Linked DNA regions of Mus musculus: all the other regions are reported to be linked to region 1. Evidence: microRNA targets listed by miRTarBase, many of them from high-throughput screens and not tested one by one. Region 1 holds a microRNA gene; each other region holds the end of a gene's coding sequence.

What was found. Region 1 holds the annotated microRNA mmu-let-7b-5p (UGAGGUAGUAGGUUGUGUGGUU, at 2,251-2,272, shown strand). A microRNA usually pairs through its seed, bases 2 to 8, with sites in the 3' UTR of a target mRNA and lowers its output. Matches are read on the target gene's strand: a 7mer-m8 pairs with bases 2 to 8, a 7mer-A1 pairs with bases 2 to 7 and ends in A, and an 8mer does both.
Region 2: miRTarBase lists Pdgfrb as a target of mmu-let-7b-5p. The part of its 3' UTR that is shown has no 7-base or 8-base seed match.
Region 3: miRTarBase lists Rdx as a target of mmu-let-7b-5p. Seed matches in the 3' UTR shown: 8mer at 2,719-2,726.
Region 4: the mRNA of Agap1 is a reported target of mmu-let-7b-5p. Seed matches in the 3' UTR shown: 7mer-m8 at 3,788-3,794.
Region 5: the mRNA of Mnt is a reported target of mmu-let-7b-5p. Seed matches in the 3' UTR shown: 7mer-A1 at 2,002-2,008.
Region 6: the mRNA of Ssh1 is a reported target of mmu-let-7b-5p. Seed matches in the 3' UTR shown: 7mer-m8 at 1,183-1,189 and 8mer at 2,455-2,462.
Region 7: the mRNA of Tspan2 is a reported target of mmu-let-7b-5p. Seed matches in the 3' UTR shown: 7mer-A1 at 1,239-1,245.

The regions. Positions count from the first base shown.
Region 1 is chr15:85,705,075-85,709,392 of GRCm38, forward strand. Mirlet7b (microRNA let7b) reads left to right here and starts at 2,245; the gene lies at 2,245-2,329. It overlaps Lncppara (long noncoding RNA near Ppara), which reads left to right. Exons shown (of 2, transcript NR_110483.1): 2 at 1,480-2,450. Mirlet7c-2 (microRNA let7c-2) reads left to right here and starts at 1,529; the gene lies at 1,529-1,623. It overlaps Gm34622 (a long non-coding RNA gene), which reads right to left. Exons shown (of 3, transcript XR_384306.3): 3 at 3,797-4,318.
Region 2 is chr18:61,082,977-61,087,294 of GRCm38, forward strand. It overlaps Pdgfrb (platelet derived growth factor receptor, beta polypeptide), which reads left to right. Exons shown (of 23, transcript NM_008809.2): 23 at 245-2,091. The coding sequence ends at 407. Among named protein-coding and RNA genes, the nearest start is that of Csf1r, 20 kb to the right of the region's middle.
Region 3 is chr9:52,085,863-52,090,180 of GRCm38, reverse strand. Rdx (radixin) reads right to left here. Exons shown (of 14, transcript NM_009041.3): 14 at 1,443-3,866. The coding sequence ends at 3,702. Among named protein-coding and RNA genes, the nearest start is that of Mir6244, 28 kb to the left of the region's middle.
Region 4 is chr1:89,888,145-89,892,462 of GRCm38, forward strand. Agap1 (ArfGAP with GTPase domain, ankyrin repeat and PH domain 1) reads left to right here. Exons shown (of 18, transcript NM_178119.3): 18 at 547-4,318. The coding sequence ends at 750. Among named protein-coding and RNA genes, the nearest start is that of Gbx2, 41 kb to the right of the region's middle.
Region 5 is chr11:74,842,926-74,847,243 of GRCm38, forward strand. Mnt (max binding protein) reads left to right here. Exons shown (of 6, transcript NM_010813.3): 6 at 1-2,800. The coding sequence ends at 395. Among named protein-coding and RNA genes, the nearest start is that of Mnt, 14 kb to the left of the region's middle.
Region 6 is chr5:113,938,593-113,942,910 of GRCm38, reverse strand. It overlaps Ssh1 (slingshot protein phosphatase 1), which reads left to right. Exons shown (of 15, transcript NM_198109.5): 15 at 1-4,318. The coding sequence ends at 672. Among named protein-coding and RNA genes, the nearest start is that of Coro1c, 32 kb to the right of the region's middle.
Region 7 is chr3:102,768,607-102,772,924 of GRCm38, forward strand. Tspan2 (tetraspanin 2) reads left to right here. Exons shown (of 8, transcript NM_027533.3): 8 at 271-3,704. The coding sequence ends at 336. Among named protein-coding and RNA genes, the nearest start is that of Tshb, 12 kb to the right of the region's middle.

The DNA.
Region 1 (4,318 bases):
GAAATGCATGATGGTGCCCAGAGTCAGAGGGGCCAGTCTCGACCTTCCAGCCAGACCTGCCCACGTACTTGTATCCTGACAGCCAAGGGCAGAACCCGAAGTGTTGAGAGACCTGGGGTTGATGTCTGACCTCTTTCCTCCTTCAAAGTGCTTCTGGGGGCGGAGAGGGGGAGGGAGGTGCTGGGCTCAGATGGAGATGACCAATGTGGTCTCTAGCTATTCCACCACATCCGGGCACAGCCTAAGAACCGACGAGATTAACCATGGCCAGTCAAGCCTACAGAGAGGCTAAGCAGTGTGGGACACCCCTCAGCCTTCTCACCTGGGCCACCCATCATAGATAGGATCACCAAAGGGGCCCTTCACCACTCTCTTCCCACGCCTCTTCTGCCTTGCTGCCTCTGCAGGGACCATCCTTGAGGGTATTTGACCTGCCTGTTAGTGAAAGGGTCCAGGCTTGAGGCAGGGGATGGCACCCCAGTGGCTCAGATTTCCTTCTGGGGCTTGGAAGATTAGTGTTTCCTATCATCACAGGCCTGCCCACCACGGGCCAGGCCACACCAGCGCTCTGGGAACCTTGTTCCTAAGCTCCTCTGCCCCATAGACTCCGGATCTGGGGCCACAATGTGGACTTAGACCTAACGGCTTCATTTTGACCCAGGAGTTTTGGACTTGTCCCTTGACCCTTGGCAGAGAGGAAAGGAGGCGTGACAGTAGACGCTAGGGCTCATGCAGAGAGCAAAAGCTGCCTGGCTTCCTAGGTCTGGGCACAGGGCTTCCCTCCACATGCTGGGCAAACCGGTCTGAGGCCTGAAAGAAGCAGGTCTTTTTCCCTTCTGAGAGCAGAGCTACCTGAGACCAGAGACTGAGCCTCAGTTTCTTCAGCGATCTCTGCTGGCCTCTGGAAGTGCTAGTCGTTAGGGACAGACTGGCCATGAGTGTCCAGCCAGGGTCTGCACTTGCGCCCGGCTGGCCACCATGGGGAGTTAGGCTGCCTCCCACAAGGAAAGACTGTTTTGAGCCTCCCCCAGCAAGGTCAGCTCAGGCCACCCTGAGAAGAGGGAGGGACAGAACCAGAGCCCACGAGGGGGGGGCTCTTCCTGCCTAAGGGGAAGAGGGTACATGCCCAAGGCTACTACTTAGCAGGAGTCCTGGTGATTCTACTACGCTAGAGTTGAGTGGACAGAGGCTGGGTCTCAGCCAGGTGGACACTGGAAGCACCCTGGACCTTGGTGGCCTTTAACAAATGACACCCTTCCCCCATTGTGGCCATTCCTGTGCTCAGTGCCCCGTGCTTTCTCTCTCTTCTCCCCGTTTCCCCGTCTCCCCGTCTCCCCTTACTCTCTCTGTGATTTTGTTTAAATGTCCCTGGCCCATTTTGAGAAAATCCCAGTCTATTAATACCCTCAGCACTGAGCGGCCTGTGTCGGGGGTGGGGGGTGGGGCTCACCATGTCCCCAGCTCTCCTTCTTCCTCTAGGAGGGACCTCAAGAAGCCACAACATCCAGCTCTACGCCAAGACTGACTGACGGCCTTTGGGGTGAGGTAGTAGGTTGTATGGTTTTGGGCTCTGCCCCGCTCTGCGGTAACTATACAATCTACTGTCTTTCCTGAAGTGGCCGCAATATCTGCAGTGGATACAACGGCGGCCCTGGCTGGGGAGACTGAGGGAGGGACAGGGGGGTGATAACTACCATGCAAAAAGAGCCTGACAGAGACCTTGGATAGTCCCTTGACCTCTCTGGGCTGTTACTCATCTGTATAAGGGTTGGGGCATAGCGATGAAAACAGACAGCATTTTCAGGGCACCTTCTCTCCCTGGCCCACACTGAAGGGGCCTTCCTGCCCCTGGCCCCATATCAGACCTGTGCTCACAGGTCTCCATGAAAAGAGGGTCTGGACTAGACCTTCAACTATGTTCCAGAGTTGCCCAGGCTTTCCAGCGCAGGGTCAGGCCTCTGACGAGCAAGCGTCTCTTCCGAGAAGAAATTGAAAAGGAGCCATTCTTAGCACACCCATGAGTACAGCCTGCAGATGGACCGTGTAGGCCACTGTCCCCTGTCCCTGGGGCAATGGGTTCAGACACCAGAGGCTTCCTCAATCTGTTTGGTAGGCACAGGCCTTTCTCACTGAACCTCTGTCTCCACTTCCCCCTCCCCCACCCCGCCCTGTGCCCTATGGCTCTAGTGGCCTGTGGCCAGGGTGGGTGGGGAGCGGCTGGGCCTCCTCCAGAACACGGACACCGCAGGGTGAGGTAGTAGGTTGTGTGGTTTCAGGGCAGTGATGTTGCCCCTCCGAAGATAACTATACAACCTACTGCCTTCCCTGAGGCGCCCAGGGACACAGCTACATGGAGGCCCCCGCTCAGCAAGCTAAATGGAGCCACAGATTGGGTGGGGGCTATGACGTGGGACCTGGGTATAAATAAAGGATGTTCTGTCATGAACTTACAACTGGTCTTTGGTCATTTTGGAAATACGGAGACTGGCCGTAGAGGACATGAGATCGCCAACCACACATTGACACGTTTGCATGCATGAAACATTGCCAGCAAGAGCTGCTCTGGGTAGTGAACAGTACCCTCCCCTCATCTTCCATGTGCCCCTTAGTGGCCCAAGCCCTGGACACCCAAGCCCCTCCACATGAGTGGAACAACAGACCCTATGACTCCAAGTCTCAGAGCACAGTACTGGCTTCCAGTGTCCCTCAGCCTGTGGTCCTAACCAGATCTGAGAAATTCCTGGCCTATTGTCCCTTCGTGCCTGCCTCCCTTGGGACAGTATTGGGACGGCTGTGGATGTAGCTTTCTAATCTTGGGCCAAATGGTCATATACCCTTCTTCCAGGGACCCCAAGCCTTCATTCAGGTGGTGGTAGTGGGGTGAGGGTCAGCCCTCAGCTAGTGTTAGCTTAGGAAGGTAAAGTCCTAGTCTTACCTGACCAGACACCAAAGGCCTCCCTCGTGGGTGGATACCTTGACCCTGATGTCCTGGCCTTCTCCCCATAATGAATCCCCCGAGTCCCAGCTCCCGTCCTGAACCCAATCTGCCTCAACTCTGCATATCCACACACCTCCATTGACGCACCTAGGCAGACCAAACACCCCTAGAGCCCCTCTATATCCACCCTCAGCTACCAGACCTCTCAAACTTAGCCAGCCATTTCCAAAGATCTGATACTGTGCTAGCCCCAGGGTTGAGAGTACCCAGAGGGACTCTCTGAGTACTCTCTGAGAGCAACAGGGATGGCTTCCCAAAGTAGGGGCTATCTGAGCTGGGTCTTGATGGCTGTATAGGAGTTGGCAGCTAGAGACACAGGAGTGGACACTCAGACACTCCGTGGCATGCCCCATTGTCTCCTCCCTGCTGTCCTTTGGAACATCGATGGTGGATGATAAATTGTCACCTTTTTACCTCTCTTTATCCTGTAGTCAGTGGTGAAGTCTGTTGACTCTTGCTATGCCTCCAGCCCTAGAGGAGTAGTCCTTCCTCCCCTCCCTTGTGCAGAGCTTTGCCCACTCTTCATCCCTTGCTGAATTAGTTAAGGTTTTACTGCTGTGAGCAGATGCCATGACCAAGGCAACTCCTATAAGGACAACATTTAATTGGGGCTGGCTTACAGGTTCAGAGGCTCAGTCCATTATCATCATGGCAGAAGAATACCATGACATAGGAAGAGCTGAGAGTTCTACATCTTGTTCCGAAGGCAAACAGGAGAAGACTGGCTTCCAGGGAGCTAGAGTGAGGGTCTTAAAACCCATATCCACAATGACATACTTCCCCTAACAAGGCCACACCTCCTAATAGTGCCACTCCCTGGACCAAGCATATACAAACCATCACACAGCCTACCTTCCATACTCTTCTGCACAGCCCAGCCCCCAACCCTTCACCCTCACACAGGCCCACCCTCTGGCTACCACAGCCAGCTGTGTCTGTGCAAGCAGAATGACATGCTGGCCAGTCACACCCACCTCCTGGCTCCTATGCTGCAGTGGGAGATGGCCTCTGCTCTGCAGAGTTCAAGTACTAGGGACACAGGACAGGACACACGGCGACCACCCAGTGGGGTAGCGTGGGAGCATCCGAGAGCTCTGAGGTGCTCTGCAGTCAGGGTAGCTTCCTGGAAGATGACCTCTGACATGTCCTGTGCCCCTCTCTACATTCTGTTGGCTCTTCTCTGACAACTGACTGTCACTAGAGATAGGGGTGCATGTGGGGATCAGGGTGGGTACGACACAGCATTCAGCAGAGTGGAAGTTCTGGGGTGCAGGGGAGTGGTTCAGCCCAGGGAGACCCTGTGCTCACTTCCCCACTTCC
Region 2 (4,318 bases), not on the chromosome of region 1:
ATGGATTCCTGACAAGCGGGGATGAGACAGAAACTTGAGAGCCTGGTCTTCCCGCTCTCAAGTTCTAGCTCCCTGTACTCACCCGCTGTGTGTGGTGGAGCCATGACATAACCTCTCTGAGCTGTGCTCCCCTTGGGGTACAGGCCTCTCAGTGTGTAAAGACAACACACGGAAACCTCTTAGATAATGCTGTTATCTTCTTGGGGTTTCCCCGGTTCCTTTCTGACTTATTCCCTTCCTCTAGTTCCACCTTGAATGAAGTCAACACTTCCTCCACCATCTCCTGCGACAGTCCCCTGGAGCTCCAAGAAGAGCCACAGCAAGCAGAGCCTGAGGCACAACTGGAGCAGCCACAGGATTCAGGCTGCCCAGGACCTCTGGCTGAAGCAGAGGACAGCTTCCTGTAGGAACTGACATCACTCCATTTTGCCCGAATCTCCCTTCTGCCTCCCAGAACCCAACCCTCTTGGCCTGGCCTGGCCTGGCCTGGCCTCCCAGCAGCTACACTGCCACAAGCTGTCCCCTCGAGGAAAGCCCTTGGTTTGCAGCACTCAAGGTCCAGGGACCCAGCTTAGCTTAGGAGGCAAGAGAACTCTGCCTCGGGAAGGTCATGGGACTCTGAACCAGGGTTCCTCCAGGGGACTCAGTTTCCCCAAATGTAAGAGGAAGAGTTGTACTTGGCTACAGGACAGGTCTGGAGCCCGGATTCCTGCAGAAATCCACGACTGTACGGTGGTGTGTTCATATCCTCCTGTGTAGCAGCTGCCCCTCAGCTGGATTGCTCTACTTTGATCTTCCTAAGAATCAGGCAAGGACCTGGTGTCTGGCTCCTGGCCAAACTGTAACCAGCCTTGGACAAGGTCTTTTCATTCAGAGCCCACCTCCCCTGGTCTTAGCTTTCCCAGGCCCGAGCTGGTCTGGGGCCAGCCATGCTTAATGAATGCTGTTAGTGGTGAAGGTAGGCCGAGTACAGAATGCTCTGGCCTGCAGCCCTGCCTGGGCACTCAGGGCACACCTGGCCACAGGAAGCACCCACTCCTTTCAGCCCCACCAGTCCTAGAATAGTCCCCAGGTCACTCTCAGCTGACCCACCCACCAGAGTCTGCAGGGCCATTGTCCACGCCTGTGATAGGCTAAGCATCTGCCTGAAGTGTGTACCTACCACTAGGAGCCCTGGCTCTGCGCTGGACCTGCTATGAGACCTTGGGGGCTTTCCTTGTTCTCTCTGGGGACCAGTTTTCTTTCCCCTTTGAAAAGCAAGTTGGACACATAGACTCTGAGTACCCTGTCAATAGTACAATTCTTGTATGTTCTGGGAGTTTGCTCTTGTCCCGAGGAAGCAGGGTCAAGTCCTTAAACTGATCTTTCTAGGGGTCAGCTGAGCTCTTGGAAGATCCCTGATACACTTCACACTCTGGGGGTTCAGGAACCGAGCCTCTTCTTCAAGTCTCCAAGTGCAACTGCCCAGACCTTGACTTGGAGTGACAGTGAGTGTCCTAGGAAACCCCCTTACAGCTGTCCTGAGGACACAGAAGAGACCACGAGACCCTTTTTTCATATCATGAAGCCAGCAAGAGTGGCAGAGAAGGCAAGCCAGGTTACCTCGGGCCACTGTCACCAGCAGCGTGTGGACAGACATGATGGACAGTGAGGACAGACGTCCCATGCAGGACAAGAGACTTGAGATGGGCAATGAGAGGAAGATGCTGACGGGATTACCACCTCAACTGCCAGCTGCCCCCGTCCCCAGGGAGCACCCCACAGAAACAGTTCTAACCCTGAACCAATGAACATTGCAAGTGCCTGGGGACTAGGGAGTGGGGGGAAGTCAGCCTTTCTGGGGACCCTCCCTGCTAGCTGGTTGGCTAGCTGGCATCTCCCCGCTTGGAGCAGCAGAGGCTGGGGAGTACTGCTCACAATGGTACCAAAGATAGAATCACCTAGGTTTACAAGTACTTGTAGGACTCGAGATAACCCACATTTAGACACCGGAAGTGCTATTTTATATGCTGTTAAGTTTTCCTATCTGTACTTTTTTTTTAAATGGGAAAGATTTTAATATTAAACTTGGTGCTTCTCACTGAATAACCGATTTCTCAGGGTTGGGTTTATGCATCTGGGGGTGGGGGGTAACAGTTTGTCCCAGACAGGTCCCTTCAGCTCCGACTTGAAAGTGAGTTTCATTTCCTCTCATCCTGGGAAGCGTCTGGGTGACCACCTAGACCTTGTGCTTGGGTTTCCAAATGTGAGGTGAGGCTTTTCTGGCCATGGCGTCTGGAAGGGGAGGGAAATGGTCCAAGCCCTTCCCCACCCCCACCTTGCATGCCTCACCATGTGCTTTGGCTTTGGCCACTAAGCCGAGTCACCTCTGCCCGTCCCCATTTCTTGCTGCTCACAGCCAGACTTGGGGGGGGGGGTAGCTTATGGAGAGATGCCTGCCAGAGCTTGAATCTTGCTTGGGTCCTTGAGAGTTGTCACTGGGACCAGGTAGAAGCAAGGCAGACAGAACACCCAGGAGGACCAGATAACAAGAGGAAGTACGGAAGGCAAAACGGTGGAGGGGAGAGGAGCAAGAGGACTGTGTGTGGTGGAGTTGAGCACCAGGGACCACACTATGTCTGGCAGCAAAGGGGTGCAGGTCCAGGAGGCTTCAGCATCCCAGAGATGGTGAAGACGCCATGCGGTAAGCATCCTGACTCCTTCAGGGTCCTGGCTATACGCTCCTCTGCTGAGCCCAGGCCTATTGCACACGGGCTCAAACAGAGGCCTATCACCTCTGTTTGGATACACCCTTGCTCCATTGGACCTGAGGGGAGGGCTTCTCTGGATGCGCGTGAAGAATGTCTCAGTTTGGAGCTTCGGGTTGTGGCTCCCAGTGTGAGTAATAGCATAGTCCTGACTCACTCAGAGGCAGCTGAGACAAACCAAGGAAAACTGACAAGAGGGCCTTTCAGGAGTCCTGACTTTAGGGGGCACCTCAAGTCTGTGACGTCCTTCTCTCCTGGATGTGGAAGGCACAGAATGAGGCAATATCTCACTGTGCCCTGCAGAGAACAAAACTCAGATTCCAGATAGGAATTTCTGTGTTTGAGATTACCTTTTTGGTTTAATGAGACAGGGTTTCTCTGTGTGGCTCTGGTTATCATGGAACAAGCTCTGTAGACCAAGTTGTCCTCGGACTCACAGAGGTCTTCCTACCTATGCCTCCCAAGAGCTGGGATTAAAGGTGTGTACCACCACACCTTGCTAAAAATAATGTTTTTGTTTTTAAAGGTTATTTTTATTTTATGTGTATGTGTGCATGGCTATATACCATTTGCATGCAATACCCACAAAGGCCAGAAGAGAGCAGCAGACCCTCCTGTAGAGTAATGGACTCTCCTGAGTTGTTCTGTGGATGCTGGGAACCAAAACTGAATGTTGTGAAAGAGCAGAAATCCCCCTCCTTCCCTCCTTCCTCCTTCCCTCCTCACCCCCCCCCCCCTCTGAAATTTATTTACTGACCCATCCTTGCAAGACTCCCAGGATAGATCTAACTAAGGTAGCAAAGGAATGAAGAAAAGACAGACATCCAGACACACAGACACACAGAAGTCACTGGGATCAGGTAGTCTAATTTCAGTCGGTGCAGCCTCCATGGGAAGTTGTCTTCAGGTGGTAAACATCCAGAAAAGACTGGTAGACAATTTCTGCACACACTGTCAACATTCACACAGGCACTAGAGGAAGGCTTTGCCACGCTTATGGCTCTGAGGCTATTGGGTCTTTAACATGGCTGCTCTCATGTCAACAACACGAATCCGCTCGGGACTTCAGATACTCAGGGCCTGCTCTGCACCCCACAATTTACCTTTTCATGCTACGTGTATGGGTGTTTTGCTTGCACATGAGTCCAGTGCCCGAAGAGGCCAGAAGAGGGTGTTGGATGCCCTGGGACTGAAGTCACAGATGGTTGTGAGTCACCCTGTGGGCGCTTGGAATGGAACTCGGGTTCTGCAGGAGCAGCTGGTACTCTTAACCCTCCGCTCCAGCCCCATAGATCGAAACTTTTAAACTGAAAGTCCTTTTGCTTTACACAGTTTACACCAAGATATTATGACATGTGTTTTTATCCCAGGCATGTTTGTTTGGTCAGCTGTTTTTATAACCTTGTTTGTGGTATTCTTAGGAAGGGAGTATAGTTCTGCATACAGTTTCTGCACAGGGCAGTTTCTAGTCAGTGTGTAGAAACTCCTGACTCAGGCACCAGGAGGTCAAGTGAGGGGGACTAGGACAGACTCTTCCTCGTCTACTTTTCACCTTTTCCCATTAGGGTTGG
Region 3 (4,318 bases), not on the chromosome of region 1:
TGTGCCCCGGAGCTCCATGGACAAGACACAAAGGTGACCTAAAAGAGGCTTTCTTAGTTGGGCTATAAAATTCTATACGAGATAACGCAAATACTTCAGTGCTAAGGCAGTGCGTAAGCATGAAGGAACAGCTCACCTCTTAAGGCGGTATGAATAAGAAGGCAAATGTCACTGCTTAAGGAAGGTTTATAAGCTTGAGTCAAGACATCTGGTTCACAGAACAGAAAGTCAAAGGGGAGACAGCACAAGGGTCACAGCCTTTTCCATCAGGAAATGGCAGCTCTTAAATTCCTCAAAGATGGGCTCATTATTAGGAGATAGTAGGTCTACTAAGGAAAAATGGAGTTAATAGTATGTCATTGGAAAGCTAAGGTTGGAAACGGTAAGCCTGCACATGACATAGCTTTTCTACTGTGCGGAAAGCACGGGGAGTGCTGGTGTTTAGCAGGATGGGCAGACAGGGCTGCAGGTAGCCTAGACTGGCCTTCAACAAGAGTGTACCCAAGGATGACCTTCAACTCTTACTCTCCTGCTGCACCCTCCTGAAGTCTGGGATCACATGTGTGTGGGCACCACACCTGGCTTTTGGGCATTTGAAGAGACCATCACTCTACCTGAAAGGTCACAACTGCCTCACTGGTCAGTTAGCAAATTAATGCAAATTTAATAACCCTTATCTGGTACTTCAAGCTTTAACATTTAAAAAATGAGATTTCCTTGGGCACATATAGGTGTGGATTTAATGTTTATCCTTTGTCTCTTAAAACATCCCAAATCTTTAAGGTGATGAAAACTGTGGGGGGGGGGATATAGAAGTTACTCTAAACTACAACAGTATGTTTATGTCTATGTATAGTAAAACTTCCTATGTTAAGTTTAAAAGTAGTAATTTAAAAAAAAAGGCTCTCTAGATTAAAAAAATAAAAATGTCTTTGCTTTTCAAGATCAGTGAAAATCACTACCTACTCCTGGAAACAGAAATAAAGTAGCAAGTGTTGGCTTTTAAAGTGTTCTAGATGAGAGCCATTACTCCTTTACTTAAAAATATCTGCTAAGTATTAGTGAGAGACCATCTAAAGGGCAATTCCACATTCATGGTACCTGCTCCAACACAGCTTTAGGAAGCCTATCTGTCTGAATAAAGGTACCCAGCACAAAGTGCAAAGAGCACCAGAGATTTTAGTAGTGAGAGGAATAAACAAGAATGAAACCCTGCCTTCCTTGGGGAAAAAGAGGCTGGACGGTGTAAAATAATGTAATGCCTGGAAATTCCAAGTTACCCTCGGACGTGAGAGTTAATTCCGAGTCACTGTGACCGCCACTGTAAAAAGGAAACAAAGAGCAAGGTTTTGAGGATCCAGGGTTCAGTTCATATGGTTCATGGCTCAGACTGTCCTTCCAAGAGCTACGTGCGAAACCACGTTAAATAACAACAGCGGACCTCCAAGGCGGGAGCTTTTGTCACTTTATTGTTAACCAACCAGTATTATCCAAGATTAGAGATGGAATTGTAATTTACTTGTACAACATAAAATTATGCTAATGGGAAATTACCAAATACTCATTAGTAGGTTTTTACATTGCTATATGAACATGTGCTCTCAACTGCTAATGATAAATGTTATAATTGATGCAATCACTATGAAAACCCATTTTGCAAATGGCTGTTCCTGTTTAGAAAAATTCATACAGCTATAAAAATGGATTAAACCCACTTTAATCCTAATCTACAAATAGACTATTAACAGCAAATATAACTGGTAGCCTTTCAACACTGTAACAACTGATGTAGCAATGATAATGTACACAATGCAAAGAGAAAAAAATAAATCAGTAAAACTCCGAGGGAAGCCAAGTCCTTTAGCAATAAGGACTATCGCTGTGATGTGTTGGAAAAGTGAGCACTTATACGTCCAGGTCTGAGTGGTAAGGCCTACCGTCTCCCTCTCATACAGAAAGCATTCCCTCGCAAATGAGTCTGAAGCACGTGCACAGCCACTGTACAACAGTCACTTCAAGGTTAACCAGTTCTCTTTTGTCCTACAGAGTCCAAAAATATATTAACCCTTTCCTTTTTATAATGTCTGCCCAAATTAATCCTTTTTAAGTCAGCAAAAATCAAAAAACAGCACAAAAAACAAGTTGAATCTACTGTGCGTGAAAATTGCTTAATGAAATGGCAATTTTAATAGATAAATGTTAAGTTTGAGTGCATAATACCAAATGGAAAGTAGCTGAACCACGCAGAGAAAACGAGGCTTTCTGCATCTTCTGTAAATTCAGGTGCTTCACGATCAGACAGTGTCAGAACATCTTTCTAGCTGGAAAGACTTCTTCAGTAAGACGTAATTGAAATAAAATTTGTTTTTAGAGATTGCAAATAAAAATAAGCAGTGATTTAGAAACCAAATATGCTACAATAACGACCCCTATCCCATCAAGAACAAAGAATGGGATGTTTCATGTACTGCAAAGGCAACGTCTTTCTCACAAAGGGTCACTCAGCGTCGGACACAGAACACCCCCCAGGGAACAGCATACCAGTGAGAATATACAATAATCTAGACACAAATCAGAGCCCCACAGTTCAACAGAAAGGCAGTTAAAACATTAGCACTGGGATCTCAAAAGCACTCAGTGAAGGCCATGATTGAGACTGCGTATGGGTGACAGACATGCAGCACAGACTGTGCGTACAGTCACCACGTACGTAAAGAGTGAGGTAGTATTTTGTTCTCAGAGTTGATGTTTCCATATGCTGCCCTTGCAGAAAGGCCAAGGTTTGGGTTTTTTTCCCCCTTCAACAATTAGAATTAGTTATCATCCACAGTTATCTTCTATTGGACATCCTAAGAACAAAACTTGAATTTTTTTCAGAGACCATGTACTTACAAGGCCACTTCATCAATAATTTTCTTAGAAGCGACTGCCTAGTGGCTAGATCTCTAAAGTAACAGGCAAGGAAAGCCACCATAGGACTACAGGATTTGAAACACCATCACTCAAGCTATCAGAGATGACTGCACTTAAGGAAAGCAAACAATACAGTAACTAAGGGATCTTTGTAATAACTAACCACTGGCTGCATACTACGCTGTCCAACATTCTAATCATCTTATGATGTAGTCCCATGTCTGTCTGTCTGTCTGTCTGCCTCACTATCTCATATTATACACCTCCAGTAAGTGATCCGTGTGACACCAGAATTACAGCTCTATCATGACAGGGCATGAGAAGGTCACACTGACAAAAAACATGAGAATGAACATGGAGATGTATGTAGCCTACAACATGGAAAGGGCAAAGAAAACTAAGTTCATTAGCTAAACATGCACTGAAATGTCCACCATTATCCTAAGATGTACACAGTGCTCAAAGCACATACACACATTTGTCAGACGTGGCCATTAGTATTAATATTCAACTGAAAAAGATGAAACAAACAAAAAGTGAAAAATGTACAAAAGGGTGGGTGACAGAATGTCATTATCCATTCCCTGGACAAAAGAAAAATGACCAAACATGACATCACACTGCCTTAATGATGAAGGACACCCTTCAGTGTCCTGCTAGTGAGCACAGTCGACTGGTATGAGTGCTTTGGCAAGGTGGGATGCGTTCCATTGCATCTGCACTGCACAGGCCTGCTTTTCTCTGGTGGTGGTTCAGCTTATGAAGGACATGGATCACAAGAACAGCTCTCACATGGCTTCAAACTCATCGATGCGCTGCTTCGTATTGCCTTGTCGAATCTGCCGAAGGGTCTTGTACTTATCACGGCCGGCCTTGACATTCTCAGCGTGAAGAACATCGTTCTGTGTCTTCTTGGTTTCATCTCTAGCTTGGGCTAATTCTGAACTCAATGCCTGCATTAAAAATATATATATATATTACTCTTCCATAAAGTTTTAAAAACTATGACAATAGGTTAAAGATGCAAAAATTCATGTTTTTTAATATACTAATCTTTCCACTGTGGAATGTTTTTCTGGCTGGTATGCAAGCATCTTTTTATTAGTTTTATTTCATGTGCATTAGTGTTTTGCCTGCGTGTGTGTGTGTGTGTGTGTGTGTGTGTGTGTGTGTGTGTGTGTGTGTGTAAGGGTATTGGATCCCTAGAACCAGAGTTACATAGACAGTTGTGAGCTGCCAGATGAGTCTGGGAATTGAATCCAGGTTCTCTGAAGAGCAGCCTTAACCCCTGAGGTGTCCGTCTCTCCAACCCACAGCATCTTTCTTTAGTAACTTTAGTAACTATGATGCTAGGAAAGGATGCCCAAGGGCTGTCTGTTCTTTAGTCATCAGCCAGGCCATTTTA
Region 4 (4,318 bases), not on the chromosome of region 1:
CTTTAAATTTTTATTTCCATAACACAAAATGTAACGTTCCCAGGCAGTTACCTAAAAACACTTAGGGGATATCAGCCACTAGTACCCTCTGTCTCCACTCTGGTGACAGAGATCCAACGCAGCTGAAAACTAATGCATCTGCGTGCATGCATGCTTACATCCGTGCACACGTAAATGCATGTATGCACGCTCATGAAGTTCATTTTGTCTTTGAGCAATGTAGGTTCTGTGGATCAAACCCAGGTTTCAGTCTTGACAAGAACCTTTGCCCTCCAAGCCATCTTTCTGTCCTTCTCCGTAGATGTATGATTAGAAAGCCAACTTGAAGTCCTCTTTGACCTGTTTGTGATGCGCAGGGGGTGGGGGTGGGGGTCCCTTTCCTAACAACAGGTTCAGAGCCTGGTCTAAACAACATGTGAACATTGGTTTGTGGCTCCTTGGACGCCAGGTGCCTATCCCAGCTCAGTCTGTATGTAGATTGTGTGCTATCCTTGCCGTGCCTTCAGATCCCTAGGGACACTAATGAGTGCTCTGTTGCCTCTACAGTACGGAGTGGACGTCATGGCCCGAGACGCCCACGGGAACACAGCACTGGCCTATGCCCGGCAGGCCTCCAGCCAGGAGTGTATTGACGTGCTTCTACAGTATGGCTGCCCCGACGAGCGCTTTGTGCTCATGGCTACCCCTAACCTGTCCAGGAAGAGCAACAGCAGGAACAACAGTAGCGGGAGGGCGCCCAGTGTCATCTGAGCTCAGCCAACACTACACCTGGGATCCCACACCCACCTGCTCCAGAAGTTGCAACCACCACGTGAGTCCCTCAGTTCCCTCCCTCTTCCAGGTGGAAGCCTTCCACCCACCTGCCACTCACTCACCCCACATGAAATCTCCAGACCTGGACATCCTCAAGGGGAGAAGAGGAGGCTGCAGGCCACAGGACGGAACTCTTTCCCCACCCTCCGGAAGCAACGTAGGAGGACCGACCACCTCCCGGCTTTGAGGATAGCACACGACAACGGGGACCCCTGTTCCAGTGGCCTGGAGACGGGGCAGGGGGAGGGGTAGCAAGGAGAAGGGGCAGCGTCCCCTAGCTGGCAGTTAAGCACATCAGTACATTTCACCTCGACCAAAAGGAGGCTTAGATTTCACGTCTTCTCGGGGGAGCTTGACGGCATAAATCAGAAGCAAGCACAGTTTGTCAGGTCTGAAGCCCCTATGATGGTAGGTGTCAAATCAGTTGTAGCTAATCTGTCCAGGGAGAGTACCAGCTTCATTACACTTGTATAGTCGAGTTCCTCCAGCATTACCGCTGTTTAATAGAACGTGATTAGTCATCACCGGGAAGAAGGCATATTAGCCGAGGAGGTAGTTACACGGCACGCTCCGGTGATTGCCACGATATGATTGCAGTGCGCCTAGCAGCATCATATTATCCTAGACGTGTCTCTCCAGCCCTTGGAGCCCTCCTTTCTAAATTCACTGTCATAATTTAGTATCTGTTTAATTTTTCAGTCCAAAGAGAGGAAATCAGTTGCTGGGTATTATTTGACTTCAGTCCCCTTACTTGGTGCAAAAACAAAATGGAAAATAAATAAATAAGTAAATAAAGAGTCACTTGGAAATTCTAAACGAAATCATGAATTCGGCTGAAAACAGCTTTCAAATATGTTCCAAAACTAAATACATAAAAGACTTTTTTTTTTCTAAGAGATTTTTCTGTACTTTGGCCACAACGGATGTGTCAGGCCTCAGTCCACAAGGTCTGGATTACCCAGGTTTCTGTCGTAGATAAGATGTGTGAAAATCTATTTGAATAAAAGAAGTTCATAAATATGCATTGATTTTTGCACAGACAAATGGCACCCATGTTAATTTATAAATTGAGCTGGATGGGAACTAATAACGTGCAACTGGTTGAGCTCAGAGGGTTACAGATCATTGTCCGTGGGAAGTACTCCCAGCAGCGAACACTTCCATTAATGTGATAAACAGCTTTTTAAAAGGTGCGTATCAGAATAAGTCGGTGGCACAATTTGCTTATTAAAGTCAGGACAGGAAGCAGGGAGGGGAAAGAGGGTATGAGCCCTCATCCCAGAGCCCAGTTTTAGAGCCGAGACCATCTTCCCAGTCAAACCGAGGGGCTGTGGCAAGAAGGGGTGATTTCTCAAAACACCAGACCCACAAAGGTACCCTGTGAGCAGCTGCTAGCGGCTCTGGCACAGCCGGCTCCTGAGTCTGTAGACTCCGCACAGCACGGCCCGTCTGGCTCTAACATCCGATTTGCCATCGTAGGTCACAGGGCTCATCAGATACCGGACACCTTCAGCACGGTGATCAGACAGGAACACCAAACCGTGACACTATTTAGTTCTTAAAAAAATAAATTGGGGCAGCCTTGCCAGAGAGCCCCCCGCCTGGTGACAGTGTGGCAGGGAGAAGTCCATCACACTGGAAGACAGGACGCTGGGCAGAGCCACCACCGGCAGCCTGTGGAGACACTCCCTACGCTTATATATTGAACTTTATATTTTGTAAGAGTTTTTCCTCCTCTTTAACTTTTTAAAAAAAGAAAACAAAAAACAAATGTAAAGTAGATGGGAAGGAAAGTGAAGCTTCACACAGCCTTTATATGTGGTGCGCGTCTTGTGGGGATCTCCAGTCTGGGCACAGCCGGAACTGACCGGGATCCAGAAATGTCACAGATGCGCAAGCCGCGGGTCTGAGGCCCCTGAACTCAGTCCATAAGCCCTGCGTTTGGTTTCTCTTCCTGCTCTCCATCACTGTGTTGTTACTTTAAATGTGAATAGAGAAAACAAGCTGTCATTGCCTATTTTTGAAGAATGCGTTAGCATCCGACCCCGCGATCCGCATACGCCTCCACGTAGCCTTTACCATAGACTTCTATAGAGAACACAGATAGAGTATAAATGAGATTCTTAAATTATTTCAGTGTAGCTAATCCCCACTAGGAATGCTTCTGTCGTAGGGGAGCCTACTTCAGAAAGGAAGCAGAGTCCTTTGTGAGGTCTCTCTTCGGGGTGTATATGAGTGTGTACATATTATTGTGTGTTTATATGATATTTTCCCGAATGATTCCTTGTTTCACATCATCCTCCGCTGCCTGAATGCGCAGTTGCTCGCTCTGGTTCCCTCCCTCCCTCCCTGACACCATCAGTTCTTCCTCGGAACACATGGCCCCCTCCCCTGCCAGTTTTTGCCGTGCTGAACTGTCCAAGAGTAGCCCACTTTTCATAAGCCTGAGTTGTGGCAATAGATACAAGGGTGGTATCGGAGCCTCCAGGGTTTTCTGTGCAGATAAAGGAGAGACTTGATTCAACTGAACTTGTATTTCACACCAGGTCCTTCCCTCAACAACAGCTTCCTGTTCCCATTTTCATGATGACACCAAGGCTGGGAGAAACAGGGACAGGGTTATGGCTGGCAGTCCCAGTAGCAAACACTTCCCCTAATGCAATGCGCTTTTTAAAGAGCACATCAGAATGAGATAGTCACCCGGTTGACTTGCTAAAATCAAGGAAGGAAGTGGGAAAAGTCAAAGAAGCTGGTTAAGTGGGGGGAACACGGAACATGTGCGTTCTCACTCCAGACACTGTTAGAGCTGAGACCCCACGCCCACCAGGCCCAAGCCTTCCTGTTAAAGGTGAATCTCTCCCTTCTTGTTGAGAGGTTCCCAGCTGGGACCAGCGGCAAAGGGGCCTGTGACTTATCTGTCATTTGTCCTGGGGAGTCACTGATAGAACCAGGCACATGCCAGGCTCACCTGGGGCTACCTCTGCTAAGCTTCTGATACCCTCCCCCGGGCCGTGAACAGTGTCGGGAGGGAGAGCAGCCTCATTCTGAGAAAGCCACTCTAATGTTCTGTCTGGTTTTACAAAGAGCTAAGCACTGCTCTCCTACTGTCCCCAAGTGTCACTCAAGCCTAAGACGAGCCTCCTCTCCTGCAACCTCGTACCTACGCTGTTGGCTCATCAAGCCTCCTTCTCCCTGTGGTTCCTACCACGAGGCTGCTGGGGTGAGCGCGCACGCACGCACGCACGCACGCACTCGCTCGAGGAGCATACATGCTCTGTCAGAGCCCTCTGCCCTTTAACTTTGAGCATCCTAACACCTCAGGCCTTGGGCTTCACTGCCTCTATCCCGAGGAGCTTGGCCAGAGAGTGAACCCCGGGGCACTCCGTAACATCCTCCTTTCTCTGTCAAGACCCACAGTGAGTTTGTGTCTAAACTTGGTGAGCTGGAGACTTAACTGGCCATGAGCCTGATTTGTGCTCTTGGTTGCCAAGGTTTCGGCCCCTCC
Region 5 (4,318 bases), not on the chromosome of region 1:
TTCTGCAGGGGCCGGGGGGCAAGCATATCGCCCACATCGCCCCCTCCGCCCCCAGCCCTGCTGTGCAGCTGGCACCCGCCACACCCCCCATCGGCCACATCACAGTGCACCCTGCCACCCTCAACCATGTGGCCCACCTTGGCTCCCAGTTGCCCTTGTACCCACAGCCTGTGGCCGTGAGCCAGCCAGTGGCCGTGAGCCACATCGCCCACACCCTGTCGCACCAGCAAGTAAATGGCACAGCCGGGCTGGGGCCCCCAGCCACTGTCATGGCAAAGCCAGCTGTGGGGGCCCAGGTGGTGCACCACCCCCAGCTGGTGGGCCAAACAGTGCTCAACCCTGTGACTATGGTCACCATGCCCTCCTTTCCGGTCAGCACACTCAAGCTGGCTTGAGAATGAGGCCACTTAGGCCCCCAGTGGGGGCAGGGAAGGGGACCTGACTGCCCCTAATCCCACCCACCAGCTCCACACATTCCAGCCAGGCCCAGGCCCGCCCCACCCACACCACCCCCAGGCCTCCTTAGGGGAAGGGGGTGCAGAGACTCTGAGCCAGGGGAAGGGAGGGGCCCCCAGGGAGTTGGCTGCAGGCAGGAAGTCCTGCTGCAGGAGGACTTGGCAGACAGGAGGATGCTTTTGGTGGACATTCTTGCCTACCCAGCCTGGTGCCAGTTCTGGTGCCGCTCCATCTCCCTGTTTTGTCCCCTGGAAGTCTGCACTGTGGCTTACGTTCTCTGCCTTCCCCTTCCCTGGCCTGCCTTCCTGTGCTGTTGCTGCTATTGCTCTGTCTGGGGAGGTGGCTGAGCTCTCCGGCTTCCCCTCCCCAGCCTCAGAGTCCTGTGGGACCTCTGGATAGGAAACAGGGAGCCCCAGAAAGATGGGAGATGGGTGGGGAGGGGCCCACCTCTGAGTGCAGGTGACAGATCCTAAGATCTGGAGTCAGGTTAGGACAAGTGAAGGCCTGGGCCTGGGCCACTCTGACCCACCTGTGGTCACTGTGATTGGCTACAGTAGAAACTGTTCAGAATGAGTCCCAACCAACAATAAACGAGGTCCTGGCTGTTGTCAAGGTTCCCGAGCCTGCCCCTGGGGTGGGGCTTCCCTAGTGCTTCCCCCGGCCCTGGTTTAGGTACTGCCTGCAGCTTGGGAGGTGTGGACCAGCAAGGGCTCTAGGAGCTAAGGTACACTGTGGAGGTATCCCGGGGCTCTTCCCATTCTCCCTCCCTCTCGGTGCCAGTGTTGAGACCCCTCCCTTCCTGGTGGGGCTGCAGTGTCTATGGTGGAAAGGGCCTTTGCTGGGGAAGACAAGGCACAGCATGTGTTTGATGGAGAGCGGGGGTGCTGTGCTTCGGGGGTGCTGTGTCTCCTGCCTCTGCTTCTGCAGACCGCTTTGGCTTCTCTTTTTAAGTGGATATTTATTACAAGTGGCCTTGTGTCAGACACTCAGTTACTCGCGTGCGCATTCAGGCCCTCACTGGACACTCACCAATGGCCTTTCCGTGTGGGGCAGGAAGCAAGTGCCCCTAAGGTGCGAAGTTTGCACTGGGGGCTTAGGCAGTCCAGGGGCCAGAGGGGAGGACTCAGGGTCCTTCAGATGACATTGTGAGCAGACACTGAGGCCAGCGAAGGTCCTGAATACATTCTCCCTTGAAATAATGACTCCTCAGGTGCCTCAGAGCTCACAGGTCCTCCTGGCCCTGGAAACCTCCCAGGGCACTTTATTATTATTATTTGTCTCCTGGGGTAGGGAATGGTAGCTAGGACCAGGTCTCAACCCCAGCACAGGAATCCCAACAAACTGGCTGCCTTCCTGTGGCTGCTGCCAGCCACCTCTACCCACATTCTGACTCTGGGGGCCACCTCCACTCTCTGCTCTGTGTTGTGACAAGGGGCAGAGTCTGGTGCTGGCTGGGTCAGACCACTTGTCCCATTAACCCTTCTCTGTGTCTCGAGGCCAGTTGCAGAGTTGACAGCATCGTGTTGGCCCCCAGGCCTGCACAGATACCTCATCATCCACCCAGCCCTCCCCCCATCCCCCCGGCAGGGGTTCCTCCAGATCTAGTGCCGAATGACTATGTCCAGATTGGTGGTGATGGGTGTTGTCGCTGTTTTTGTTGTTTGTGACTGCTGTGTGCCCAAGTGGGCAGCCACCTCCCAGCCCTTTCTTGGGCATCTCCCCTTTGAGAGCTGTTAGGACCACATCTGTCCTCACGCTGTGGGACCGCCTGGCCCTTCCCTTCCTATCCCTTCCAGCCTGGGACACACACACACATACACACACCTTACCTCTCATGCGTGTTTTACCTGTGCTGTTTGGAGTGGCTCACTGCCTGGGATCTTTACCTCGGGGAGGAAAAGGGGAGAGTGGTTCCCTTGGGGCCAAAGAAGGGCAGGGGATACCTGGAGGGGAGTTGGGTCACCACAGTCTCTCTCTAGGAACAGCTGCTTCTCCCCCCACCCCAATCCCAGGGTCCCACTCCCAATCCCCAAAGAGGTGGCCCTTGTTTACAGTGAGGACTTGGTCACTGTGTCTCTGTTTCCTGAAATATGAATTGTAGCGACCCCAGACTGTAGAGATTTTTATGTGTTTGGGTACATCTGCTGTGTGGGAAAAAAAAAAAACTACAAAAACCCTAATTTTGTACATATTGTATTTTTACTATTGAACTGTACTCTAGTGGCTGTTCATGCTCTGAGTTTAGGTATTGAGACATGAATACTATCCATGTAATAAGCACTTGCCTGGAATAAAATATAAAACTGAAATAAATCTGCACTGAAACCTGAGACGGAGCTCCCAAGCCTGCAGCATCTGGGTCATTTCATTTCAAGAGGCAGGGACCCACAGGGAAGCAGCAAGAGGTGGCACCCTGAAGGCTGCTGAAGGGTGAGGTTGGGTGATGGCCTGAGTAATTAAAACCCTGGTAATAGGGTTCCAGAGCTGGCTCAGCAGCCAGACCATGTGGTGCTCTTATACCATGAACCCAGGTTGGGTCTCCAGCACCCACATCAAGTAGCTAACTGCTCGAGGCTCCAGTTGCAGGGCTCTTGACTCCCTCTTGTGGTTCCCATGAGCATTTGCATGCATGTGATGCAGGCACATGTAAATAAGAAAATTAACAGCCTGTTAAGGCCCGGGAAGATGGCTCAGCACTGGCTGCTCTTTTGGAGGACCTGAGTTTGATCACCAGCTCCCAAATAGTGGCTCACACTGTTAACTCCAATTCCAGGATATCCTATACCCGTCTCTGAATTCTACAGGGATCAGAACGTGAGGTACAAATATGTATTCGTGCAAACCCCATTCCCCACACCTTAACAAAACAGAGATCAGGCAATGGTGGTGTATGTCTTTAGTCCCAGCACTCAGGAAGCAGAGACAGGTGACTCTCTGAATTTGAGTCCAGCCTGGTTTACAGAATGAGTTCCAAGATAGGCAGAGAGCTACAGTGGAAAAACTGTCTGAGCAGGGAGGCCGGGGGCAGGTCAGTGGGAAGCAGTCTGGGTATGGTATGGTGTACACCTCTAGTCCCAGAAAGAGGCATACACACAGAGGCAAGTGGATCTCTGAGTTTGAAGCCAGCCTGGTCTAAAAGATGAGTTTGATCCAGTCAGGGCTACATAGACCCTGTCTTAGAAAACGAAACAAAAACATCAGGGATAGCCTGCCTTTACCCTGGGTCAATGAAGGATCTGGCCTCACAACTGTGACCCAACACAAGGCTGTATAGGTCCTCATCGTTTCAAAACATGATCTTATTTCATTAAACAGCCAGTGAAGGGGGCTGGAGAGATGGCTCAGTGGTTAAGAGCACTGACTGCACTTCCAGAGGTCCTGAGTTCAAATCCCAGCAACCACATGGTGGCTCACAACCATCTGTAATGAGATCTGATGACCTCTTCTGGTGTGTCTGAAGACAGCTACAGTGCACTTAGATATAATAATAAATCTTTTTTTTTTTTTTTTTGGTTTTTCGAGACAAGGTTTCTCTATGTAGCCCTGGCTGTCCTGAAACTTACTTTGTAGACCAGGCTGGCCTCCAACTCAGAAATCCGCCTGCCTCTGCCTCCCGAGTGCTGGTGTTAAAGGCGTGCGCCACCACGCCCGGCTATAAATCTTAAAAAAAAAAAAAAAAAAAAAAAAAAAAAAGCCGGTTAAATAAGGCAAGAGGTAGTCCTTTTGAGCAAATCAGAAATGGCCAATGACTTGCTAAAGTCATACCGTTGCACCTTGTTGGTTAAGACTACAAAACTAGCCGGTGTGGTGGTGCACGCCTTTAACACCAGCACTCGGGAGGCAGAGGCAGGCGGATTTCTGA
Region 6 (4,318 bases), not on the chromosome of region 1:
CAGAAGGCAGGCCTGGTCCGAAAGCACACCAAAGAGCTGGAGAGGTTGAAGAGCCTGCCTTCAGACTCACCAGCTGCCTGCAGGGACAGCGCCACCTGCAGGCTGGAGGCCAGCATCCCGGAGGAGGGTAGCCAGGAGCCCGCACACCCAGCCCTGTGCAGCCAAGCTGGGTCGGAAGAACAGCCTGTAGGGGGAACCTTGCAGAAGAGCCCCACGTCTACCCTCCCCCGTTTAGATCACACCAGTAACTTCTCGAAGGACTTCCTGAAGACCGTGTGTTACACCCCCACCTCCTCCTCCATCAGCTCCAACCTGACCCGGAGCTCCAGCAGCGACAGCATCCACAGCGTCCGAGGGAAGCCTGGGCTGGTGAAGCAGCGGGCGCAGGAGATCGAGACGCGGCTGCGCCTGGCAGGCCTCACCGTGTCGTCCCCGCTGAAAAGGTCCCATTCCCTTGCCAAGCTGGGAAGTCTCAACTTCTCCACGGAGGACCTGTCCAGCGAGGCTGACACATCCACCATCGCTGACTCGCAGGACGCCAAGTGTGGTCTCTCCTCTTCCTTCTTGCCCGAACCCCAGTCTGCGCCAAGGGACCCCGCTGCAACCTCTAAATCATCAGGGAAATCTGCCCCAGAACACTTGAAAAGCCCGTCGAGGGTAAACAAAAGCTGACTAGCTTTCAGCTCTGTAAGGTTTTCATCATGTCCTGATCTACTCTCATGTCTTGATTTGTGTTAATGACTTCAGTCTTCTGGGCTTTCCCCACTTAGATCCCGTGAGGGGGGACACCCGGGTGTAGGACCTGGGCAACCTGGAAACTGTCAGCCAAGAGTCACATTCAGATATGTACACGCAAGCCAGGGCTACGGCTTGGTTGTTAAGAGTGTGTGCCTGACATGCACCAGGCTCTCAGTTTTGATGCCCAGAAACCGTAAAACCAGGCACGGTTGCGCACGCGTACGGAAATTCCAACACTGGAGGTGCAAGCAGAAGGATTAGAAGTCATCTTCAGCTACATGGTGAGTTTTAGGCCAGCCTGGTGGAGAGAAAAAGAAAATGTGTGCGGACATACAAAATACAGTTTGCAACATGTCAAGGAACCACATTGGCGAGGTCACTGCAGCCCACGATCCCGGCTCATTCCCGTCCTCGAGGGAGAATCCTCAGAGGGCAACACAAGGCCTACCTCTCTGCTCACTGTGCATTTTTGTTTATAAAACGGTAATGACCAAGGCTCGTTCTGAGAACAATGCTATGTCCAGAAGGGATTTTCCAAGAGAATTGTGGGGGGTTTTGGGTTTGGAGTTTTTTTTGTTGTTTTTTTTTTTTGTTTTGTTTTGTTTTTTTGAGGGTGGGGACCCGCAGAAATGTCAAGACTTTGAACCTGATTGTCCCAAGAACAGCTAGGTGATATCATCAGAGGAAAGCACTTAGGGAGAGTGGCCCCGTCTAATCCTCCATCCTGGTGGGGTTGGGTCCTCAGCTGTTGGCTTCCCTTCAAGCTTATGTCACCCAGTCACTGAGAAGGCACTGCGAGCCTCATCTGCTGCTAACGGAGGTTGTGGGCCTGGGGTGTGGATCATCCTGCTGTGACCACACGGTAACCCTCCAGGATGGCTCAGTAGGAACCATCTCCACACTTGCTGAGAGGAAAGGCAGCGTCAGCAACGGATACTTTCTTACAAGTCCCTCCCCAGAGCCAGTCTGAGAGGAGAGAGTCTATTGAAAAGCTGCTCTGATGTTTACCAGAGTCCCTTCCCGTGGAGAGAATAGAATATTGCTTCCTTGTCTCCTCCGGCTCCCCCTTGCTGTAATGATGGGACAAAGGAGGCTTGGCCACAGCACAGGTGTGAGCACAGATTAGCTCAATGAAGCAGGAGGCCTGGGCTCTGGGTTCATATCATGGGCCTCGACTGGTGCCCATCATGAAAAGGGTGCTTAAGGATTTTTTAAATTTTTTTTTTCCTTAAGGATTTTGAAGAGAGACAAGCAGAGAGGCAGACCAGCAGAAAGCCTTGACTTGGTATTTAGCCAACGATGGTGCACAGCCCTGTGAGGTCACATATCCATTTGGGCTCTGTTAATGTGTTTAGGTTTTGGTTTTTTGAGACAGGGTCTCACCATGTACCTCCGCTGTCTTGGAACTTTCTCTGCAGACCAGGTAGGCCTCGGACTCAGCAGCGATGCATCTGCCTCTGTCTCTCAAGGGTTTGGTTTGGGTATTTTGGTTTTTGAAGTAGACTCTCACCCTGTAGTTCAAGCTGGCTTCAAACTCACAGCAGTCCTCCTGCCTCAGCCTTCCAAATGCTGAGATTACAGGTATAATCCCATCATGCCTCAGACTTGGTTGTTTACATTTTGAAGGGTAAATGGCGCAGGCTTGTGATCTACACTCAGGAGGGTGAGGCAGGTCCACCATGAGTTAAAGGCCAGTCTGGGCCACAAAGTGAGATTCTACCTCAGAAGTAGTAACCTTGCCAGAGATGGTGTTACCTGCTTCAGATGTCTGCTGCGAGCCCTCTCAGAAAGCTTGCTGATGCCCCAAGGCTGCTTGTAACACTGCAGGAAGACGGGGTTTCTATTTGAAGGCTGCCTTTGCTCCTTGGATATCACAGACCAACTCCTTCCCTCCCACACTCCAAACTTGCCAGCCTACCCCTTTACCTCTTGAGCAGATGGAGTCCTTGTGGAGATGACCACAGCTCCTTCCTGCAGTTGGCTGGCTCAGCCAGACAGCTCAGTGAGACCACAAAGTCTTCAAGGATATGTTCCGGAAGTATGCGTATGGGGGTCCTCCCACACTGGTTAGAACCAACGGAGTCCGGATGGTTTGGAGGTTGCAGCCAGGTCCCTTGGCACAGCCTGGGATTCGGGCAAGAAGGAAGAAGAGAGACCGCCATCCTGGTGAACGCTCTGGGTGTCTCCAGGATCTGGGCCAGTTCTCTCTTCATTCGTCTGGGGTCTTTGTGACCTCTGTCTCAGAACATTTCTCCCTGGCATGATTTTTTTTTTTTAAATACATGTATGTTATTTTATAGGGATTTATTTTCCCACTACTGTCAATACCAGTCACCTTAAAAAGCGATCATCCACTTATTCCTGAAACCCTGTGGGTTTCTTCCACTCTTCCCTCAGCCAACAAAAGCAAAAAAAAAAAAAAAAAAAAAAAAAAAAGGCCAAGTTTAATGACATCGCCAAGTTCAATTTCACATGGTGGGTCAATTTCTGTGTCAAAATAATTCCTTAGATTTGGTAATGATAGGCTTCCACTGTGTTTCTTAATCCCATCTGCAAGAGCGATAGGATTTTTGAAAACTTTCATTTTGAAAGAGTCAGGACAGGAGGATGAACTCAGGCAGGCCTCTCGCTCCCAGCAGACTACCTTACACCTGTTTGAGAAGCACTGGCCAATCAGCCAACGGTGCGAACAGCAGGGGGGCGGATCCCCATCTTCAGACCGGAATCCCTGGCGGGATCCTGTTCATTCCTTGGCTCTCTCTGTAAACACAGTGAATTGGCATTTAATGGAAAGGCTACTTTGGAACTCTCCCTGCTAAGCTAAGACGGTGGCAACTCCCATATTGTCTCAGGAAAAGTTTTGTTCCAGCTAGGCTTGGTGGCACACTCTCGTGATGCCACGCAGTGGATCACTGAGTCCAGAGCTTTGTAGACGCTGACCACCACCCCTCCCCCGCCCCGCCAAAAATAAAAAAGTTAGCTTTGGGAGCTGCTCCACACCTGGCTATTTTAGCTTTGTGTGTAATCATAGCAAGCAGAGGTAGAGGGATTTATGCAGCGTTGATGACTGCCATTTTCACTGAATGCCCTTGTTGAACTAAGAGCTTTCTGCTCAGCTGGATGGCCCGGGAACTTTACATAGCCCCCCCCCCCCCCAAAGTCTGAACCATGTGGGGGCCTTGCTCTACACCAACACAGAAGGCTTCCTGAAGTGTAAGGGAGAAGATACTGGGCAGAGGTGGGAGCCTGATCGAATGAACAAAGAGCCAGGTGTCTTTCTCAGATCCTCACCCCCATGTTTTCAGTGCAGAAGCCCTACCAACCACACACAGCTCATCCATGCGGCTCAGCCATGCTGGTCTCTCCGAGGTACCCAGATAGCTGCACCCCTCTGCTCCCCTTGCTCAGCAGCTTGCTCTAGCTGAAGATCAGGCCCAGCATCCTCTGCCCTTGAAGAGCCCAGAGGGTTCTACAGGATGGAATTAAGTTCTGAAAGATTAGGTGTTGACAGCCAGCCTGTATTTTTGTGCACCCATCTCAGGGACCACCCCGGAAAGCTTGTGAATCTCCCACTCTTCAG
Region 7 (4,318 bases), not on the chromosome of region 1:
AACCAGAAACATATCAGTCTTTCATAACTGTTAAGAACCATAAGCCAGAAACAGACAGACAGACAGACGTGTCTGTTAGGAAGGTAACATAGGAGCTCGGCAAAGCGGACACAGACGTCTTGCTTAGTTGCCATCCTTAAGAAACATATGAAAATGTCATTTACAGCCAGTGTTGTTGGTCAGTAACTTGAACTAAGCAGTGCCACAGTGTGCTGATTTTTATCGAATCCACATGTGAAAGTTGCTAATGAGCGGTTCTTTCTGTTGCAGATCTTTGGCATGATATTCAGCATGGTGCTTTGCTGTGCAATACGGAACTCACGCGATGTGATCTGATGATACTTCATCAGGAAAATTGCAATCTAGAGTTGTCGTGCTAATTATCACAAGAGCTCTCTCGGCTCGTTTTTAATATTCAGGATATTAGAAGCTAAAATAATTTTCTGTCAACTGTATATTTGCACATGTATGTAAGTCTGACTCATTACTGATTTGCCCCTTGAGTGAATGTCTGTTTCTGGTATATGCATTGCACATACTGATATCTGTTTCCTGGGAAACCCTAGTTCTTGTATGCAAGAATAACCTATTTAAGTACCAGAAAAAAAGCAATGAGAGATTTTTAAAACTCGGCTATTCAGGAAATGTAATAATGGGTCCATTTCTCAGATTTTAGCCATGAAAATTAGATACATAAAGAGAATGCAGGATTTCTAGTTAATGGAAGCAATAAGATAGAAGAATTGAAGGGCCATAGATTGACTGTGTCTGAGTTGAGTGTAAAGATTTCTTGAAATATATATATATATATACATATATTCTCCCCAGAATCCAGTAAACCACAGTTTTAGAACTAAACACATCTGTAAAAGTAAATATAGCATGGAAAAATCTAATTCAAAAAAGTCATGTTTTCTTAGCATTTAAAAACAGAAAGCCTCTCTCTGGAAAGAGAAGTCACGCAGACAGACAAGCATGTGCCCCAGAAAAGTGAGTGCTTTAAAGACTAAAACTAACAACTTTGAAGGGGGAGAAACACTGCTATAGGATGACATGCAAACGTTGTTTTCTCCCTCTTCTCTGCCAACTCTGCTTTGAACTAGTGAAGGCCTCGCCTTCCCACAAGGCCTTTCCTTCACCCTCCTTACTGTTTTTTTCAGATGTGGTGACAGAGGAAAGCAGGCACTGTGCAGCGTGACAGTGGGGGACTCTGGCTGGCACTGTCTGTACCTCTGGAATACCTCATGACTTGAGTTTACATACTTTCCTAATATTTTTCCATTTTTCTTATTTATCTGTGCAGAGAATTCTTTATAGATTAAGAACATAGTTTTATTCTTTAAAATAAATAAATCGCCCCATAACTCAGATATTATGTTATGAGTACCCTGTCTAAACCAATATAAACACCTTCTTCAATATGTATGCACACAACAAAGGCAAGTTAATGGATCAAAAGTACTTTCGTGCATACAGCTGCAGCACAACTATATTCTTTCTCAGCGAACCCCTGTGGGGATGAATAGATGCTCAGGTTCTTTGGGAGCCTGAGTGATTGATTTTAAGTGGGGAAACCCAGGCACTGCTCGGCCTTTTGGCAGCAAGTGGGAAACCCCACAGCAGGGTCGAAATTGATGTATTTGTCATAATGGAACAGCGTATAAAGGAGTCTTAGGATTATATTGACCACATAAAAGTGAAGGCATGAGGAATTCTGGAAACCGTCAGGCTAGCTTCTATGTCCGCTAAGAACCTAAGACTTTGGTATGTGCTAGAACAAAGTGCCATGCTTCAGGAAACTTTTACCAAGTGTTTTGCTGAGGACACACAACTCCTGGGATGTCTCACCCACAGAGCGCCACCTCTCTCTTTTTCAGATATTCTTGCTACTGCTACTAGCTTTGGAGAAAAAAACTGAGGGAGTTAAAAGTATAACTGTGTATGACTACTTTACCTATGTATGCAAAAGTATTTAAAAAAAATCACTCTGTGATGTTTATACCCCAGTGGTTGACAAATGCCAGCTTTTTAAGCAAACAAAGAGTGATCAGTCCTTCTTATAGCTTTAGTTTATCTGTCTTCCTGAAGACAGAGAACAGGCTCAAGTGTGTACTCAGGTTCCTCCAGCTCAGAGTTATTTCCCGTTCCTCAGAAGTGAGTTTCATTCCCTGGGTGAGTGAATAAGTTTAAGGAAAACCACAGTAACTATAGACAGAAGAGTAAAATAATTTTTTAATGCAGAAGAATAAGTCTAGAAACCCATGTCCTGTGTGATTACCTCTCTGAGGGTGAAGCTTTCCAAAGAATGTGCTGGGTAAAATTAGAGAATTCCATCTTTGAGTAAAGATGGATATATATCTTTATGTGAATGGATAAAGCTATATCTATAGAGATATATAACCCCTATGTCCTGAACTTATACATATCTTAAATACATATCTCTTAAGGCTAAAGAGATATGTAATTTAATACATGTGTACCCGTTTGAAACTATGGAGATAAATGTTTGTATACATACACATGTACATGTATATACATTTACAGTTATTTCTGTTTACCTGAACTAATTTGAGATCAGACCCAAACATTTTAAGTTATTTTAAATTAAATTTTCTATGTACTTACACTGCTTGAGTTATCTTAAAATCTTAGTGTATCTTCTTAACAAGTTCACATTTTCTTATTTAAATGTGTTACCTACCAATTTACCCAAACAGTATAGTAAAAACAAACTGGTAATCCTTTCATGCTGTTGTTGTGCAGTGGGTTCAAAAGCAACACCCCTAGGGTTCTAATTACATATAGTTGCGTTTCAGCTAACACCAGTTCACCCAAATTGTTTCTCCTTCCTCCAGAAAAACTTGGTTACCTATGGCTTAGCCTTTCGAGTTAATCCTGGGTCCAGTGTGGTTCTCCTGTACCAACAGCCATCGTTTCCCTCTGAGGAATCTAACCGATGTAGCTGGGTGAGAATGAGACCCAGAGAAAGATGATAATAATCTCAATAATAATCAATAAAGAAGATAGCATGTTCTCCCTTCTGAAATAAGTTTTCTGAATATTCAAAGGGTATTTGCTCTCTTGTCATAGGTGAAGGTGGTTTCTATGGCCCAGAGGCAAGCCACTAGTACTCCCCACAGCCCAGCTTTCAAGGCCCCACTGGCATGCTCTTGAACACCAAGCCCGTTTCCCCACACCCAGGAAAGAGCAATTTATGTCTCTTGAGGGTAGAACCAGCGTAAGCTCATCTGAATCAAGTTGGTTTTTGTGTGGATTTTAAAGACTAAAGATTTCCTACTTTCTTTAAATATCCTCCCCCCCCTTTTTTTTTACTATAAAAGGTATTTTGTATATAGATGTCTTTTAAAAGTGAAAATACTACAGCAATACAAAATGTTATTGTTTGGTGTCCTTATAACAAGCAAGGGATTCACAGTTCAGACGCTGCCCCCTGGAAACAGGGAAGACACAGCAAGTACAAGTAACATGCCCTGTGCTTCCCAGAGCTTGGCTGCAGAAATGTGGAGTTAATACAACAGGAACCTTTTTGTGTGTTTTGTGGTGTTTATCCTGTATATTTTGTGATTTCTTTTACTCCTATTAAACAACAAAAAAAAATTAGTTAAAGAAATTTAAATTGCATGTTAATTATTAAATAAGTCAATAACCAATATATAAGTACTTACAATACAGAGGAACTACTGAATATTAGCTGTTATAATTATGTTGATACTCTGACAAAGAGGTCTCTGGGATAAATCATTTTCCAAAAATCATGCAAAACTGAAGATTGTTCCACATGATCCCAATTAGCTTTAAAAACATTTGTTGAACTCATTAATAACCTTCAATACATTCCCCGATTCTGTCTTATTCAAAAGCTATATAGTACTCACAACTGACATCAGTATATTTTTCTCTGTGCCTGCTCTTCATAATATGTATTCTACATAGTGTCAGAGATTGTATTTGTTTGTTTAATTTTTTACTGTTTGAGGCTACTGTCTTAGTGATTTGATGAGCCCTTAGGATAATATTGACCTGACAAGTGGAGTTTGGGAAAGCAGGCCTCTATTGCTATAAGCAAATGCTAATCATTAGCCAAGAGTGGGCCCACTCAAACTGGAAAGAGTAGTCAGGAGAGAGACTTCCTTGATGTTGGCAATTCTGACCTGAATCCTGAAAAAAAAAAAATCTTACACACTGGCCAAGGTAGAGAGAAAATAAAAAGTGTGGTTTTGTGTTCTAAGGAAAACACACAAGAAGACTCTGAAATAGCACATGAGAACATTTTAGGAGGGCCTGTCTCAAACTAACA